Linked DNA regions of Nothobranchius furzeri. The protein of the gene in region 1 purifies or fractionates together with the protein of each later gene. This does not show direct contact. Links are inferred from orthologs where the notes say so. Each region holds a gene or a part of one and is shown in the gene's direction. Other genes may lie near its edges.

The links.
Region 2: the proteins of arrdc1b (region 1) and hecw2b purify together in Homo sapiens (affinity purification with mass spectrometry; 3 studies listed by BioGRID and IntAct, counting the BioPlex papers as one, with this or other methods). This does not show direct contact. The link is inferred for Nothobranchius furzeri from reciprocal best matches to the Homo sapiens genes ARRDC1 and HECW2.

The regions. Positions count from the first base shown.
Region 1 is NC_091746.1:74,984,514-74,992,547, reverse strand, and holds part of arrdc1b (arrestin domain-containing protein 1b), read left to right. Parts: intron 1-3,868; coding exon 3,869-3,979; intron 3,980-8,034. UniProt on the Homo sapiens protein: Functions as an adapter recruiting ubiquitin-protein ligases to their specific substrates. Through an ubiquitination-dependent mechanism plays for instance a role in the incorporation of SLC11A2 into extracellular vesicles.
Region 2 is NC_091743.1:81,271,944-81,279,977, forward strand, and holds part of hecw2b (E3 ubiquitin-protein ligase HECW2), read left to right. Parts: intron 1-3,450; coding exon 3,451-4,280; intron 4,281-4,402; coding exon 4,403-4,532; intron 4,533-5,380; coding exon 5,381-5,482; intron 5,483-6,540; coding exon 6,541-6,691; intron 6,692-7,083; coding exon 7,084-7,187; intron 7,188-7,273; coding exon 7,274-7,398; intron 7,399-8,034. UniProt on the Homo sapiens protein: E3 ubiquitin-protein ligase that mediates ubiquitination of TP73. Acts to stabilize TP73 and enhance activation of transcription by TP73. Involved in the regulation of mitotic metaphase/anaphase transition.

The DNA.
Region 1 (8,034 bases):
AGGTGGAAAGAGCAGAATAAGGAGAGGGTGGAGGTGAAGGTCCCACCTGGGGTTGTCACGATACTAAAATTTCAAACTTGATTCGATACTTGAATAAAAACTCGATACTCGATTTCGATACTATTTAAAAACACCAATTTATTGAACAAGTTTATTCAAAAAAAAACATTCCTCAATTTATATTGTAAATATTAAATGTTAAGAATTAAGTGTGTAAAGTGCTTAAACCTTTCAAGTATCAGCATTTTTTAAAACGTGCATACAAAAACTGGTGAAAGTTGAATTGTCTCACTATATATACACTTTTTGCAGAGTGATGTTTTCCAATCCAATCCAATCCAATTTTATTTATAAAGCGCATTCACAAGGCATTACAACCAGACAAGGCGCTGTACACTAAAAATGTTGGTTAATTAAACCGGCGTTATATAAACATGTCGAACACAGATAAAAGATAAAAAGGAAATACAACAAAATTCCCAAAAATAACAGCTAAAAATCAATAAGACACAGGGTGAAGTAAAAATAGGAAAAAACATTTTACAAAGAACCTCACTAGTACGGAAGTCGATAATGTGGAGTCAGTTTATAAACAGTGCAGATGTCAGTGAGGTTCATAATTATGTGGTGTAAGCTAGGTTGAAGTAGTGAGTTTTCAGGCGTGATTTAAAAATGCTAGCTGTTGGTGCTAGCCTCACTAGCAGTGGTAATGCGTTCCACAGCTTGGGTGCACAGACAGAGAAAGCCCTTTCTCCACGGCTTTTTAAACGTGCATTGGGAACAGCTAGGAGGAGCTTATCTTCAGACCTGAGAGCACGCGGCGGGTTGTAGTAATGGACCAGTTCACACAGATATGGAGGAGCTTGATGGTTCAAGGATTTGTAAGTGAGAAGCATAATTTTGAAGTTTATCCTGAACTGCACGGGCAACCAGTGGAGAGATTTCAGAATTGGAGAAATGTGTTGTCTTCTGTCAGCTCCAGTCAGCAACCTAGCTGCTGAATTCTGGACCAGCTGAAGTCTAGAAAGAGCTGCTTTACTGATGCCATATAAGCAGGAGTTAGAGTAATCCAGCCTTGAGGTGATAAAAGTGTGGACCACAGGTTTCAGAAGACGGACACTCAGGATGTGCTTTAGTTTCGAGATGTGTCTTAGTTGGTAAAAACATGATTTAACTGTGTATTGACCTGGGCATCCATCTTCAGAGCCTGGTCCATTTTTACTCCAAGGTTGGAGATTACAGAGGATACATTAGGTGAGAGATAGTTGAGGTCAGGTTGTTGAGTTGCCATGATACTGTTAGGACTGAAAACGAATAAGTCAGTTTTGGAGTCATTAAGATGGAGGAAGTTATCAGCTAGCCATTGCTTGACCTCGAGGATACAATCAGACAGAACTTTCGTTGATTGAGTTGGCTTAAATGAAAAGTAGATTTGACAGTCGTCAGCGTAAAGATGGTATGAGACAGCGTGCTTTCTGAAAATGGCTCCTAAGGGCAGTATATAGAGGTTGAACAGTAACGGGCCGAGAATTGAACCTTGTGGGACACCCCAACGTAGAGGCTGTGACTCTGATGAACAGCCGTCCAACATGACCCTAGCAGACCTGTTACAAAAGTATGACCTAAACCAATCCAGGGCAGTGCCTGAAATGCCAGCCCAAGTGTGAAGTCTTGTGATCAAAATGTCATGATCGATCGTGTCGAATGCTGCAGATAGATCCAAAAGTACCAGAACCACATGGAAACCTGAATCTAAAGCCAGAAAAATGTCATTAAACACCCGAACGTGAGCAGTTTCAGTGCTGTGCTGTTGTCTAAAACCAGACTGACAGGTGTCCATTACCTGATATTCATTTAGATGTTTCACCAACTGTGCATAGACTATTTTCTCAAGGACCTTAGATAAAAACGGTAATTTGGAAATTGGTCGTAGATTAGAGTAATCGGTGGGATCGAGGCCGGGTTTTTTCAAGATTGGTTGTAGAACAGCGTGTTTAAAGGCACGAGGAACTTCAGTTTTGCTGCTTAAACTCTGTTTAAGGTGCATTTTTGTCATAAGATGTAATGCTAATGTTTTGTTCATTACTTTTGAACAACTCTGTTGGTCAGTAAAGGGAGAAAACGAATTTCTCCACAGTAGGACAAAGGTACATCTACCGGTAATCTTAATAAAAACAGATTGGCGCACGGCAGTGACGTAATTAAAAGCGCCGGTTAGATTAGCCGCGGCTAGTCTATTTACGCCTAGAAATCCCAGACCCGCTCCAAACGAACAGGGGAATCATGTTAATGATTCCTAACAAAGCCTTTCGACATGAAGATGTTTTGGTGCAGATAATGTCTTATGTCGAGGCTGCACCATGGGTGCCCGTCCGCACCCGTTATATGGATATACACTGATGGCGATTCGCCGATGGATCTAAATACCCCAGGGAATCCAAGTAGCACCAAAGTTGTCAGCGTGAGTAAACAAACGTACTGCATGCTAGAAATTAAGACCGGGTTGCAATAAATGGGAGTTTCCTTTAAGCACATAAGCGTGAATATACAACTACGTGTCGGACTTGGTATGCTAGCTTAGCTAATACTAATACGTGAGCTCAAATTTGTTGGTGCAATTAGACACATTCTTACTAGATTTAATAAATTTTAGACACCTGTTTCATTTCATCATGCAGTTTGGGGTGTCGGTCTCTCAGACGCTTGGCCAAATGTGTTGTGCTGCTGGACTTCGTAGCGATCTCTTTGTAGCACTCCTTGCAAACGGGTCTGTCATGGTCTGTTGCTTTCCTCGACTCATCAGCCTTGTATCCAAAGTGTTTCCACTCTGCACTTTTGCTCTTTGTGTTGTCGATTAAGTTGGGCTGTGAAGCGCCTCCCGAATTCGCTGTTGCCATTGTTAACGAAACTTGGATCGGAGACAACTCGCGTGGGAAATAACAATGTAGCCATGCGGCGTCTTCTTCTTCTGTTTGTCCGGGAGGCGGAGGCTGCTTTACGGCATCTGGCTGTCGTGTGTGTCGGTGTACTTGAAGAAGGCTGTGTATATGTGAGACTCCATAATATAGATACCATAGAGATGGAATATGTAATTTAGATACCACCTTTAGTATCGATTTATATCTAGGTATTGATTTTTTTGACAACACTAGTCCCACCAAACCAGAACAGGTGAGTTTTCAGCTCCTTTTTAAAGGAGACCACTGACCTCAGGCTCTCAGGAGAGAGTTTACAACATTAGCTCTCTCTTTGCCTCCTAGCTCTGTACAACAAGATGATAGTGAGACCAGACGGCTCCGTCTTTCTGCCTAATCCTCCGGCATCTGTCACATGTTTAGTGTTGGTTATCAGAGTTGTCATTTCCTCACAGACAACAAGAAGAAGCGCCGACACACAAGAGAAGAGGCGCCTGAATCTCAGCACACATGAACATTTCCACTGATTTCTGGTTAATTCTATCATAATAATTCACATTAATGTAGAAACTTTTTGTTCACTCCTGAAATTCTTCATAAAAGTGTTTTTCACTCTGAAGAGAAGGCTGTTTATCTCGTCGTCTGGATAATGAGTCGGAGAATCCAGCGCTACCAACGTTTTATTTACACTCTCCATGCAGCTCGCTGTTGACTCACTAAAACTCTGTTCACACCCTGGTATTATTGCTGCTCGGCGAACACAAACCAATTTAAATGCCCTTTTTGCTCCGTTCTCATGCTGGTCAGGGTGTACAGACTAATTGGTTTTCCCATTTAAATACGAATGCTATATTGTCCTCAATTCTGGCCGTATTCGTCCAGTTCTGTGTAAAGAACACATGAAGAGCGCTAGTTTTTCATTAAGATTAAACGACTTCCTGTTCTCTCCACAGCCATCAAGGTGTTCTGCCAGGGCTCATGTGGGATCTCCACCAAAATGAACGACTCCTCGTGGACTCTGGAGGAGCAGTACTTCAACAGCACTCTGTCAGTAGCTGATAAAGGTAATTCGAGTCTCACTGGGATTCGAAACCTCCATGTTTAAAGGGTCTGCATTGTCACGGCTACTTTAGAGCCCGGAGGTAAACTCTAGCTTTAGCTTTCTCTTGTTTCTGTCCACACTGAGGACAGAGCCGTCCTTTATGGGATGTGAGTGAGCAAAGCAAACATTTGCTGTTGTTAGGTCATAGATTTACCAGGGAAGTGAACAACTGAAGCAAACACGGCAAACCTGCTCTGTAAAAATGTCTCCTCAGAACTAATCTTTGGTTTTAAACAACTCCTGAAAGTCCATGGGGTGTTTCTCAATGTCCAGGCGCCTGGCTTACGAGGACACGGTCCTTCCTTGGTCAAAGAAAACGGTTAAATGGAACAGACTTGCATCATGTGACCGCGGCTTCCACGGCTGTCACGTAACGTCACGTGACACGGGAGACAACATTATATTTTATACGTATTAGTTTCAATATAAATATATAACGAGCCTTTCAGATCACCATTGCATTTTCTTTAACTTGTCAGTTTCTGCGTCCCCACCTCCTGCTCGCCGTCTGGTTAGTTCTCGTTTTCTTAATGAGAGCACAGCTAGCAATTTTTCTGCTGCTTCTGATCCACCCTGTTCTTCTGATAACGACCCAGATTCCTTAACTTCTCAGTTCAACGAGCACTGCCTCTCCATTCTGGACAACATCTGTCCTGTCAGAACCAGATCAGGTCCTGCAGTGAACCCTACTCCCTGGTTTAATGACAGCCTTCGCAGCCTGAAGCGCTAATGCAGAAAAATGGAGCGTTTGTGGAAGAAAACCCATCTCCACGTCCATCTGCTGCACCTAAAGGATCTTCTGACGTCCTTTAACTCTGCAGTCAGAGACGCTAGGGTTTCCTATTTCTCCAACATGGTGTCCCAGAGCAAAGGGAACCCCAAGGTGCTGTTTAACACCATCAGCAGCATCATCTCTCCTGCCTCTCCTACAGCCTCCATCCACTCTGTTGCAGACTGTAAGAACTTTCTGTATTTCTTTGTGGACAAAGTCAATAAGGTTAGATCTAGCATCTCTCCTTCAGCCTTATCGCCGCCTCTCCCGACTCCAACCAGGCCCATCATCCTAGATAGCTTTGCTCCTGTTTTTTTTGCCTGAGTTAACCAAACTAGTTAACTCTATGAAGACCTCTGCATGCCCCCTCCACATCTTACCCTCATCTTTGTTTAAAAGTGTTTTTCAGTCCATCGGTCCCAGCGTGCTCTCTATAATTAATGCTTCTCTGGTTTCTGGTCAGGTCCCTGCTTACTTTAAGAACGCTGTAATCCACCTGCTTCTTAAAAAACCGAGTCTTGACCCCTCTCTCCATAGCAGCTTCAGACCCATCTCTAAACTTCCGTTCATCTCCAAGATCTTGGAAAAGGTTGTGGCTAAACAACTCACAGCTGCTCTTGATGAACATAACATCTATGATAGCTTCCAGTCAGGTTTTCGTAGAGCTCATTCTACTGAAACAGCTCTTCTTAGGGTCTCTAATGACCTTCTGACCCACAGTGATGCAGGGGACTGTTCTGTTCTGGTCCTGCTGGACCTGACTGCAGCCTTTGACACTGTTGACCATCACCTGCTACTGGAGAGGCTGAGAGACTGGGTAGGCCTGTCAGGATCTGCTCTGGAGTGGTTCTCCTCTTATCTCTCTGAGCGCTCCTTTTCTGTGGCCGTCTCCAAGTTTAGGTCCTCCACCACCTCTCTTACCCATGGTGTCCCACAAGGTTCTGTGCTGGGGCCTCTGCTCTTCCTCCTCTATCTGCTTCCTCTTCAGCACATCCTGAGCTCCTTCAAAGGAATCTCCTACCATCTTTATGCAGATGACATCCAACTGTACATCTCCTTTAAGCCCCATGAGATGTCTAAGCTGCAGCTGTTACACACCTGCTTAGACTCTATCAAAACCTGGATGGTGGGAGCTTTCTACAGCTGAATGAAGATAAGACTGAGATCCTCATCTGTGCCCCAGACAAGCTGGTTCCCAAAGTCAGAGACTCTCTTGGTCAGCTTGCTTCCCACACCAAACCTTCTGTCAGGAATCTTGGCGTGACCTTTGACCCAGCTCTCACCCTGGATTCTCATGTCAGTTCTCTTGTTGGCTCTTCCTTCTTCCATCTCAGGAACATTGCTAAGCTGAGTCCCATTCTGTCCCGCTCTGAACTTGAGACAGTTCTCCACACCTTCATCTCCTCACGCTTAGACTACTTTAACTCTCTTTTCACGTGTCTGAGCAGAACCTCCTTGAACCGTCTACAGGTGGTTCAGAACGCCTGTGCTCGGCTTCTGACCAAGTCCTCCAAACACACCCACATCACCCCGCTTCTCCTCCAGCTTCACTGGCTGCCAGTCAACTTCAGGGTTCATTTCAAGATCCTGGTTCTGGTCTATAGGGCCTTACATGGACAAGCACCATCTTACATTGGTGATCTTCTTAGTCCCTACACCCCCAGCAGGTCCCTGAGGTCCAGTGACCAAAGCCTACTGGTTGTGCAGCACCAGGCTAAAGGTCAAAGGTGACAGATCATCTGCTGCTGTGGCCCCCAGACTCTGGACCTCTCTCCCCCTGAGCCTGAGATCAGTGGTCTCAGTGGTCTCCTTTAAAAAGCAGCTGAAGACTCACTTGTTCAAGCTGGCTTTTGTATGACCTTCTTCACCTCTCTCTCTTTATTCTGCTCTCCCCACCTATTCCACCTTCCTCAGGATCCACTGATTTCCCTCTTTCCTGTCCACTCTCTCTCTTTCTTAACATTTTTAATCACAATTATCTATTGTTGCTAACTTTAAATATATTTTTAAGCGTTTTATAAATATTTTTTACATTTTTTGTTTTTGTGAAGGGCCTCGTGATTTGTATCTTGAGAGTCGCTATAGAAATGATATTTTCGTCTTCTTGTTTTACTTTTTAAATTGTGTATATGTTTATTAAGTAATAAATATAAGTGAGTTACTACCCGCTAGCCACCGCAGCTGCAACTACTAAGCTACTAACCAACCATAGATAACTTCTTTGGATCTAAAAAAAAACATTTTAAATTAGCTGACTTACTTTTAAACTTGAAAATTGTCCCCGAAGTAGCTGCCGGCTTCTGATCCGCCGTCCTTTTGAAAATACCGCAGTGTATTCTGAGTAATTTTTGACCAAGGCTAGGCTACAAGACACCTCCCGTGTATCCTCGCTCAGCTAGCTAAACGGCTAACAAACTGAGAACACACGCCACGGTAGAACATGAAAATTGGAACACGTGTTGGCGGCTCCTGATGACGTATCTCCTTGGCAACCGGGGCGGGGCCAAGGCATCAAGGCGAGGTTCCTTGGCATTGAGAAATACCCCTTGTTACCTTCTTTCCGTTTCTTTTCTAGTTGCGTTGTTTTTCTGTTCTTATCTTGTTACGTCCCTCTGGTCGCTAGGAGAGATGTGGTAGAGGGAGTAAGAGATGTTGTGTGTAGGTAAATAATAAGTTTATAATAATAAGAGTATTTTTGTCTCAAACAAAGGATTTTTATTAAACACAAAGTGCCTATAAAAGGGAAAAAGGGTTAACAAAAAGCGCCAAGCCAAAAGGGCTGGGAGGAGAAAAATATCTAACTGAAATATTTACTATTAGTAAAACACTAAATTAAAAAAAAAATACAAATACTAAACAAGAGACGTCCTGTTAAGCAGAGACGCTCAGGAGAAATCCAAAAGGGGGAGTCAAAGGCCAGTCCAAAGTCAGAGTTACCAGAAATCCTAATTATCGAGAGTAAACCACAAAATCACCAAAGTACCACGAAGCAACACACACACAAGCACTCGAGGAGAAGAGAGAAACCTGAACACCTTCGTGCCCAAGCTTCCCTGTACCTTCTCACTGACTGAGGGAGGAGAGCAGCCTTTAACAGCTGCTCCCTGATTGGAGCGATTACAAACACCTGTTACACCGGGAGACAGGCGAGGCAAAGCCACTGAGGCCATCTTGTGGCTGAAAAGTGGTACTGTACGTAACAACAGAGTAGCAAAGTTTTTGTTTTTACCTTGTCTTGCTAACAA
Region 2 (8,034 bases), on another chromosome or scaffold:
ATGTCTTAACGCTACGTGAGATCAGTCCTAGTGATAGAGTTCTTTGATTTATTAAAAGGAGAGAGTCCTTTCTTCATTCTTCTCTTGAGCTGGAAAGAAGCAGTTTAGAAGCAAATGCATGAGACCTTGAGGCCATATCTCATGCAGACTAGTTCTGTGTCAGAGGAGAGGGGGAAAATGACTGTTGGTGGAAAACAGTCATTTCATTCCGTTACAATAGGAAAGAGGGAAATCACTGGATCCGGAGGAAGGTGGAATAGGTAAGGAGAGTGGTGATGAAGGTCATACAAAAGCCAGCTTGAACAGGTGAGTCTTCAGCTGCTGTTTGAAGGAGACCACTGAGTCCACTGATCTCAGGCTCAGGGGGGAGAGTGTCAGGGCTGGTATGAAGGACTGGACTCAGATGCAGAGTTTGGCAAAACAAGGCTTTTATTTAGGCAAAGGCTTCTTTAACCAAGGATCAAAAAATGATCAAAAAACAAACAGAGTCAAAGGGCCCAGAGATCAGTTAATGCCCGGCTGGAACAAGAGAATGAAAACTAACAAACTGGCAACTGAAAGAGAACAGAAGCTGGTTAAATACACACAAGAACAGCTGGGAGAAATCAGAGTGATGAGGAACAGGGAACAGAACAGAAACAGGAGATTTGACACCAAAATAAAACAGGAAGTGGGATGGATGAACAGGTCTCACGGCAGGGCGTGACAGAGAGAGGTCCAGAGTCTGGGGGCCACAGCGACAAATGATCTCCTCCAGGTGGAGTTTCTTTCCATTGGCTGCAACAAACATACAACACCTCTGCACTTGGGAGCAAAGTATCTCAAAACAGGTCAAAAGAATTTCTATTAGTCAGCTATAAGCTTATGCTGATGCTGTTGTAAGTAGCAGCTGCAGTGTCCCTGGTTTTAAAGGTGACTAGAATGGAAGCAAATCATCTTCCAAGTCCCTCCGGCAACTATTATTGTAAAAATTAACTAGAAAATGAGGTCCTCTCCACTGGCGTCTCTTAGTATACGTTGTTCCATCTCTCTGAGGTCTGACGCTTTTCCCAAAGCACTCATGGGTGACCTGGTCCTTTTGCAGCAGTCCCCTTCCCAACTGTAGTCATAAAAGGGAGATTTTAACCCCTCTGCATCCACACTGCCAAAGAGCCTGAGCAGTGTTGTGTTTAGCCAATCACAGCACTGTATCGATTTAGTAGGCGGGGTGATGTGACAGAGAGAAACAAGATGGCGACGGCTCGTTTGAAACGGCTTGGACATCAACAGTGGACTGTTTAGACTTGGGCTTTTCTTTGAGTTAAGAGCAGATAGAGGTCCTTTAGTCCTTTATCATCATCATCATCATCATCATCATCATCATCATCATCATTTATTTCCAACATGCCAATAACACCACAATTAACAACAGGATATAAATCAATAATAAATCAAGTTGACATTGTTGTAGGCATGTTTGAAAGGGAGTGGGCGGAAGCCAAGCTAATTCAAGCCCACCGCTATTTTTCACTAACAGTTTAACATTCAATATGTAGCATTAACTCAAATTCAACAACCTTGTGACCAAAGAAAATCATAATCATAACAATAATAATAATGACAATTTAACAATTCTTGTCATTATCATTAATTACATATTCCCATACACCTTTACTCACATCATCATCCATTCTCATTTGTAATGTATTTTAACCAAACTGTTCTTCTGTAGTGTGCTTTAAAAATCTAAATATTTTGACGTTGTTTGTGATCAATCTTTAAGTTATTCCATATTTTTATCCCACACACAGACACACAAAAGCTTTTACGTGTTGTTCGCATATATATAAATATTTTATCTCTCCTCAGGCTATGTGACAGCTTTTTAATTATAAATAGCTTTTGTAAATTATTTGGTAGAAGTTTATTAAGTGCTTTGAAGAGAATTTGAACTGTTTGATATTTAATTATATCCTGTAATTTTAATTATTTTGATTGTAAAAACATGTCGTTATTTAGGAAAAAGGATGCAAATGTCTTCTTTGGCAGTGTATGGTAGACTGTCGCATTGACTGACATCTGTAGAAGTGAGTGTGTCACGTTGTTCGTTGTCTAATAGCATGCAGAGACACGACTGAGCTCTATGACAGTGAACGCAGCATCACTAGGCCCTGTAATTCAGTTCAATCCTCATGGAGGGGGCCATCAGCTAGCACACTGCTGCTAACCATGTAAACATTCTCCTTCTCCTGATAATAACATTTTACTTTCTTTGACATTGAATGTGCTACTACTAGTTTACCTGTTTAATTATAGATTCACTAGGATAAATGCAATAAAGTTTATCTCTCACCAAATAGAATATTTACTAAGAAATCACAATGTAACCATAGACCATGGGTGGGGAACTCTGGTCCATCGAGGGCCACTATCCAGCATATTTTAGTTTCAACCCTGATTTCAATCAGCAGGTGATTAACAGGCTTCTGCAGAGCCTGATGAGCTGCAGAACAGGTGAATCAACCACTGAATCAGAAGTGTTGGAGCAAAGACGTGCAGGATACCGGCCCTCGAGGATCAGAGTTCCCCACTCCTGCCATAGACACATTACTTGGTATATGTTTTGTGTGTGTGTGTGTGTGTGTGTGTGTGTGTGTGTGTGTGTGTGTGTGTGTGTGTGTGTGTGTGTGTGTGTGTGTGTGTGTGTGTGTCTGCTCTGTCTTCTCCATACCCAGTGAGTCGTGGTGGATGGCTGCTTATACTGAGCCAGGATCCTCTGGAGGTCTCTTCCTGTTAAAAGGGAGTTTTCCTCTCCACTGTCGCTAAATGCTTGCTTAGTATGAGGATTGCTGTAAAGACTCTGACACTAGTCAGTGACTTGATGCAATTTGCTGGGTTCCTTATATAGGAAACTTGTTACTGATTGGCTTAATGAACTGACCTGTATAGGAATGTTTACTATGTGAAGTGCCTTGAGACGACTCCTGTCGTGATTTGGCGCTTTATAAATAAACTGAATTGAAAATTGAACAAAATAAAAAAATAAAAAAGTCAGTCGTGGCCATCCTATGTATTCACATATAGGACAGGATTGCCTGGCTAGTTCTACACATTTTGGTGATTTAAAAAAAAGTAAGTTTCATATGAACTTGTTCCTTCTGCAGAGTTCATTGTAATTAAATAAACTTCGTCAATAATGAGCTGCTTTTCTTCCTAAGGAGGTAGAACCACTGGTTACCACAGCAGGACTCTAGGGCAGGACCTAGCATGCTAACTGCTGATGTGCAGAGCTGCATTCATTTCTGTTAATTAAACAGACGTTTGTATGGCTTTGTAGCTTTTATTAGCTAAACTAGCTAGCTCAGCTTACATAAGTACACAAAAAAAATTCTAAAAGGCAAATATCTTCCCTTCTATATGGTTGATACTCCTCCTAACTCCTCCCCATCCATCTCCCCCTCCTCCCCCCAGAGGCCTCCCCAGATGCTGCTGGGACCATCCTGGGCAGTGGCGACCCCGGAAGTCCGTCTGATGATGAGGAGCTTCCTCACCCCTCCTCGTCATCTCATGCCACATACGGACCATCTCCCACCGGTTCTGATGACGGCCCCTTGGCAATGAATGGTCTTTGTTGCTATGGTGATGACAGTGTGTGGCACGAACCCGGTCAGATGGTAGACAGCAATCTACATCCCGTGGTCCTGGGGGGCCACACTCATCGACAGGTCTCGCTCAACGATTACCTGGATGCCCTTGAAGCTCCCATGAGTCCCGGGGAGCGACCGTCGATGGGGCCTTTACCAAAACTCCGCTCCAGCTTTCCGACCGACACGCGGCTCAACGCCATGCTGCACATCGACTCAGATGAGGATGAAGATGCGGCCGGGCAGCACAGGGACCAAACTGATGCGTCGAGAACAGAGCAGAGCACCAACCCTTCTAGAACAGCTCCAGTTGTGTCTGGAGAGCAGAGCGAGGGTCCAACGGAGGAGGCTGGAGCTGAGGCAGGTTCCTCTGCTGGTGCTCAGCCTGCGGAGGCAGAAAATGGAGGAATCAATGAAGCGGAGAGTGGAAGTTCAGTAGCATCGGTAACCGGGGCTGAGGAGGCTGCTGGAGCATCAGCCGAGGTGGTGCAGGTCTCTGCGGATACCTCCACAGCTTCCACCTCACCTCAGGCCTTGGGGGCTCAGGCAGCTGCAGCAGAACCACAAGAGGAGTCTGGTTTGGCATGTTCCTGTCAGGAGCAGAGCAGCAGGATGGGGCCCTGCAACCCCCAACCTGGTCCTCTTTCACCCATTCAGGTAAGCTTCTGAGCAAAGACACAGACTCATTTGGTCAGATAAGGAGTCAGTGTGCTAGGTCATCTTGGGTAAAAGCTGCTGTTTTATGAACAGCCTCCCGCCGCACCTTTTCTTTTTCTCAGGAGGTTGATGCAAGGAAGGAACTGGCTCCAAAGGCGGAGGAGGAGGGGGCTGAGTCATCGAGCAGTGAAGCAAATGGGCCAGTTGGCGCATCTGCACCAATCAGCAGCTCCGCTGGTGGAGGAGAGGCAGGTAGGTGGTGTTGCACAACTCTAACGTTAAAGTTACCAGTAACCCCAGGAGTGGACATCCCAGCAAGCTCAGCTTCAGTCTTAGACTCTACCGGCCTGTTGTTGGCAGGTTTAAAGCTTAGTGTCCCCCTACACAGCCTATAGTAACAAGAGAGCCATGAAAACCGCCAATGTGAAGATGATAAAAGGCTCTTGAGCAAGGGTTCTCCCTCACCTTCCCCAAGATCTGTACAGGAGGCTGTAATGGCAAGGATCTTTTTTCATATAATCACTCTACAGGGGAACTGACACTATGTGTTGTGACTAATAGCCAGGCAATATTTAATTTTTATTTCCACTCTTCTAAAGTCATCTCTAAAACATCTTATGAGGGGGGGGGGGGGGGGGGGTGTAGAAACGTCTTCAAAAAGACACCATAAACATTGTTTTTATTTAAAGGCGTGAGGGCTGAAGGTGGCAGTGAGGAAGGGGAGGACAAAGGAGGGGAGGTGTGGAGGAGGCAGTCCATGCAGGCCTCTGGGGGTCTGGCTCAGAACCAGGAGCAGCCCGGGGCCAGAGTGAGGGAGAGCAGGACAGGTGAGATCGTATAAGCTGACGGTTTCCTCCTGAGGACATTCAGATGGTCTGTCAGGGTTGTGCCCACCAGTGGGTCAGCGAGTGTTCATTAATGACTGGAGCGTCATTCAGAGAGCAAGTTTTCCTAAATGAGTCTGTGGGGAGAAGCGTAGAGCTGAGGGATGACTTCAGGCTGCAGGGCGGTGAACCAGACGTGTTTCATCTGTGCTGGAGCAAAACAGTAGCATAACTGTATCATCTACACAGAGACATGATGGTTATGGTTTTCTTCAGGTGTCACAGCGCAGGTCAATGGTCACCCGTCTGTTAGATCTCTGCCGTCGGTTCGTCACGACATCAGTCGCTACCAGAGAGTAGATGAGCCGCTGCCGCCTAGTAAGTGTGCCGCCATGTTTGTGGATCCCTAACCTCATGTGTGAACATCCATCAGCCATACTTTGGTACTACATGGTCATGCTCCCATCTGCTAGAGCCAGAAGTACACACTCGAATGACCAGAATCTGTTTCTTTAGCAGAGTTGTTTATTAACAATACTAGAACGCCCCTTTCATTCTTTCTATTAGAATATTTCCTTTTTAACGTTTTAGTCAAATGTTTATAGCCCACAAGGAGCTTCAGCTTGGCCTTTGTGTCTAAAAGTTTGGACCCCCCTGGGCCAGAGCCTCCAGGTCATTAAAGAGCAAGTCACCCTCTACCAGAGTCTTACTCCACTCCCACTTCCTGTTTTAAAAATGCAACAAATGCTGTTGCCTGGCAGGAGCTGTTAACAAACACACACACACAGGCTCACAACGGCATTGTGACATCATATGGTACCAGCTGATATCATAGGATACCTCTTAGCCAGTAGCGATGGCAGATTTAAATTCAAATGCGGTGCAGAGTTTTTACCTGATGATGGCGCAACACGACAGTTTTAGGTAGAATATTTAAATTTTAACTAAGATGTGCTAAAATGCCAAATTATTGACTACACGTGTCTGCAGCACGATCAGACACTCATTTATATAGTTTATTGGCAAGAAACGTTGATTAGGGGGTGATTTGCCCTTTAAAAGCCACAGTTTATGTTGTTGTTCAACAAAAGCCTTTAGGATTCAGAATAATACAAACTGGGTGGGAAAGTGTGAAGGAACCCAGAAAGATAAACGAACAGACACGATTTACCCATAAAAATATACTCATATTAAATAAATACAGTAGGCTCCCAAAGTGTGGAGGACCCAGAGACATGCTGCGTCCTGCGTTCTCCTCCAGGCTGATGTGAGATCAACTGTGAAAACTTTACATTTATTTCCCGTCTTTAAAAAAACAAACAGCTGAAAGCTAAATCAAAAAGCTTGTTTTGATAAATGAAAGAAAGTCCAGGTCCATCAGAAGCCGAGAACGTGCTGTCTGTTAGTTTTCACCCGTGGGCCTCCTCCTCATCCAGACTGGGAGGCTCGCATCGACAGCCACGGTCGCATCTTCTACGTGGACCACGTCAACAGAACCACCACATGGCAGCGACCCACCGCGCCCCCCGCCCCGCAGACCCTACAGAGGTCCAGCTCCATACAACAGATGGAACAGCTGAACCGCAGGTCAGAACACACACACACACACACACACACACACACACACACACACACACACACACACACACACACACACACACACACACACACACACACACACACACACACATTATCGTCTTGCCTCCATTGCGAGGACTGTCATTAACTTCCATTTATTTTGGTGACTGAATTACGCCTAACCATAACCATTACCAGTCTATTCCTGACCCTAACATTAACTAAAGCTTTCTTCACACCATTCCTCTACATTGTACCAAATTGAAGACCAAGCAAAATGTCCTCACAAGTGTAAAGTACATCACTGGTTCTCAGAATGATGTATAGAGTGCACACACACACACTGGTTTCCATCCACCTGGATTATAGTGATTCCTGAATACCCTCCCACACCTGTCCAGGTATCAGAGCATACGTAGGACGATAACCAATGACAACAGACTGGAGGAGCCGCCGGCCACAGAGTTGCCGGGGGACGAGACGGACATGCACCCCTCTGTTCCAGGTACCCCACCCCCATCTGTCCAGTCAGACCAATAAAACATGGGTTTATCATCTCTTTACTGTCTAATGTATGTGTGTGTGTGTTAGAACTCCGTAGGGACAACAGTACAACTCAGTCCCCCTCCAGGTCTCGTATCTCACTCCTGCTCCAGTCCCCCAGCGCCAAGTTCCTCACCAGCTCCGACTTCTTCACTGTGCTGCATTCCAACCCTGTAAGGTCTCATGCTCCTCTGCAGCTTGTCATCTTTGATATTTATATATATATATATATATATATATATATATATATATATATATATATATATATCAATTCAAGTTTATTTATAAAGCGCCAAATCACTGCAAGAGTCGTCTCAAGGCACTTCACTTAGTAAATATTCTATTTGGTGAGAGATAAACTTTATTGTATTTATCCTAGTGGATCAAAAATTAAACGGGTAAACTAGTAGTAGCACATTCAATGTCAAAGAAAGTTAATTGTTATTTTCAGGAGAGGGAGAATGTTTAAATGGTTAGCAACAGTGTTTAAGACGATGGCCCCCTCCATGAGGCTACCACAGCTCAGCAGAACATCATTGTAGCTTCTTCTGGGGAGAAAAACACAGAGAGAAAATAAAGTTAACAGCTGAAATAGCAGGAAATAATACAGTTAAAGAGCAGACTGTAGAAGAAAGTAGTAGAGTGTGGAAAGTGGTCAGTGTGTCCTCCAGCAGTCTAAGCCTATAGCAGTATAACTACAGAGATAACTCTGGATAACCTAGCCTTTTAGATGGAGGCATGTTGGAGGCTGGGCAAGGGAGAGCCGTCTTTACCGACTGTACACTCCACCTCCCTCTACTCCCCCACTT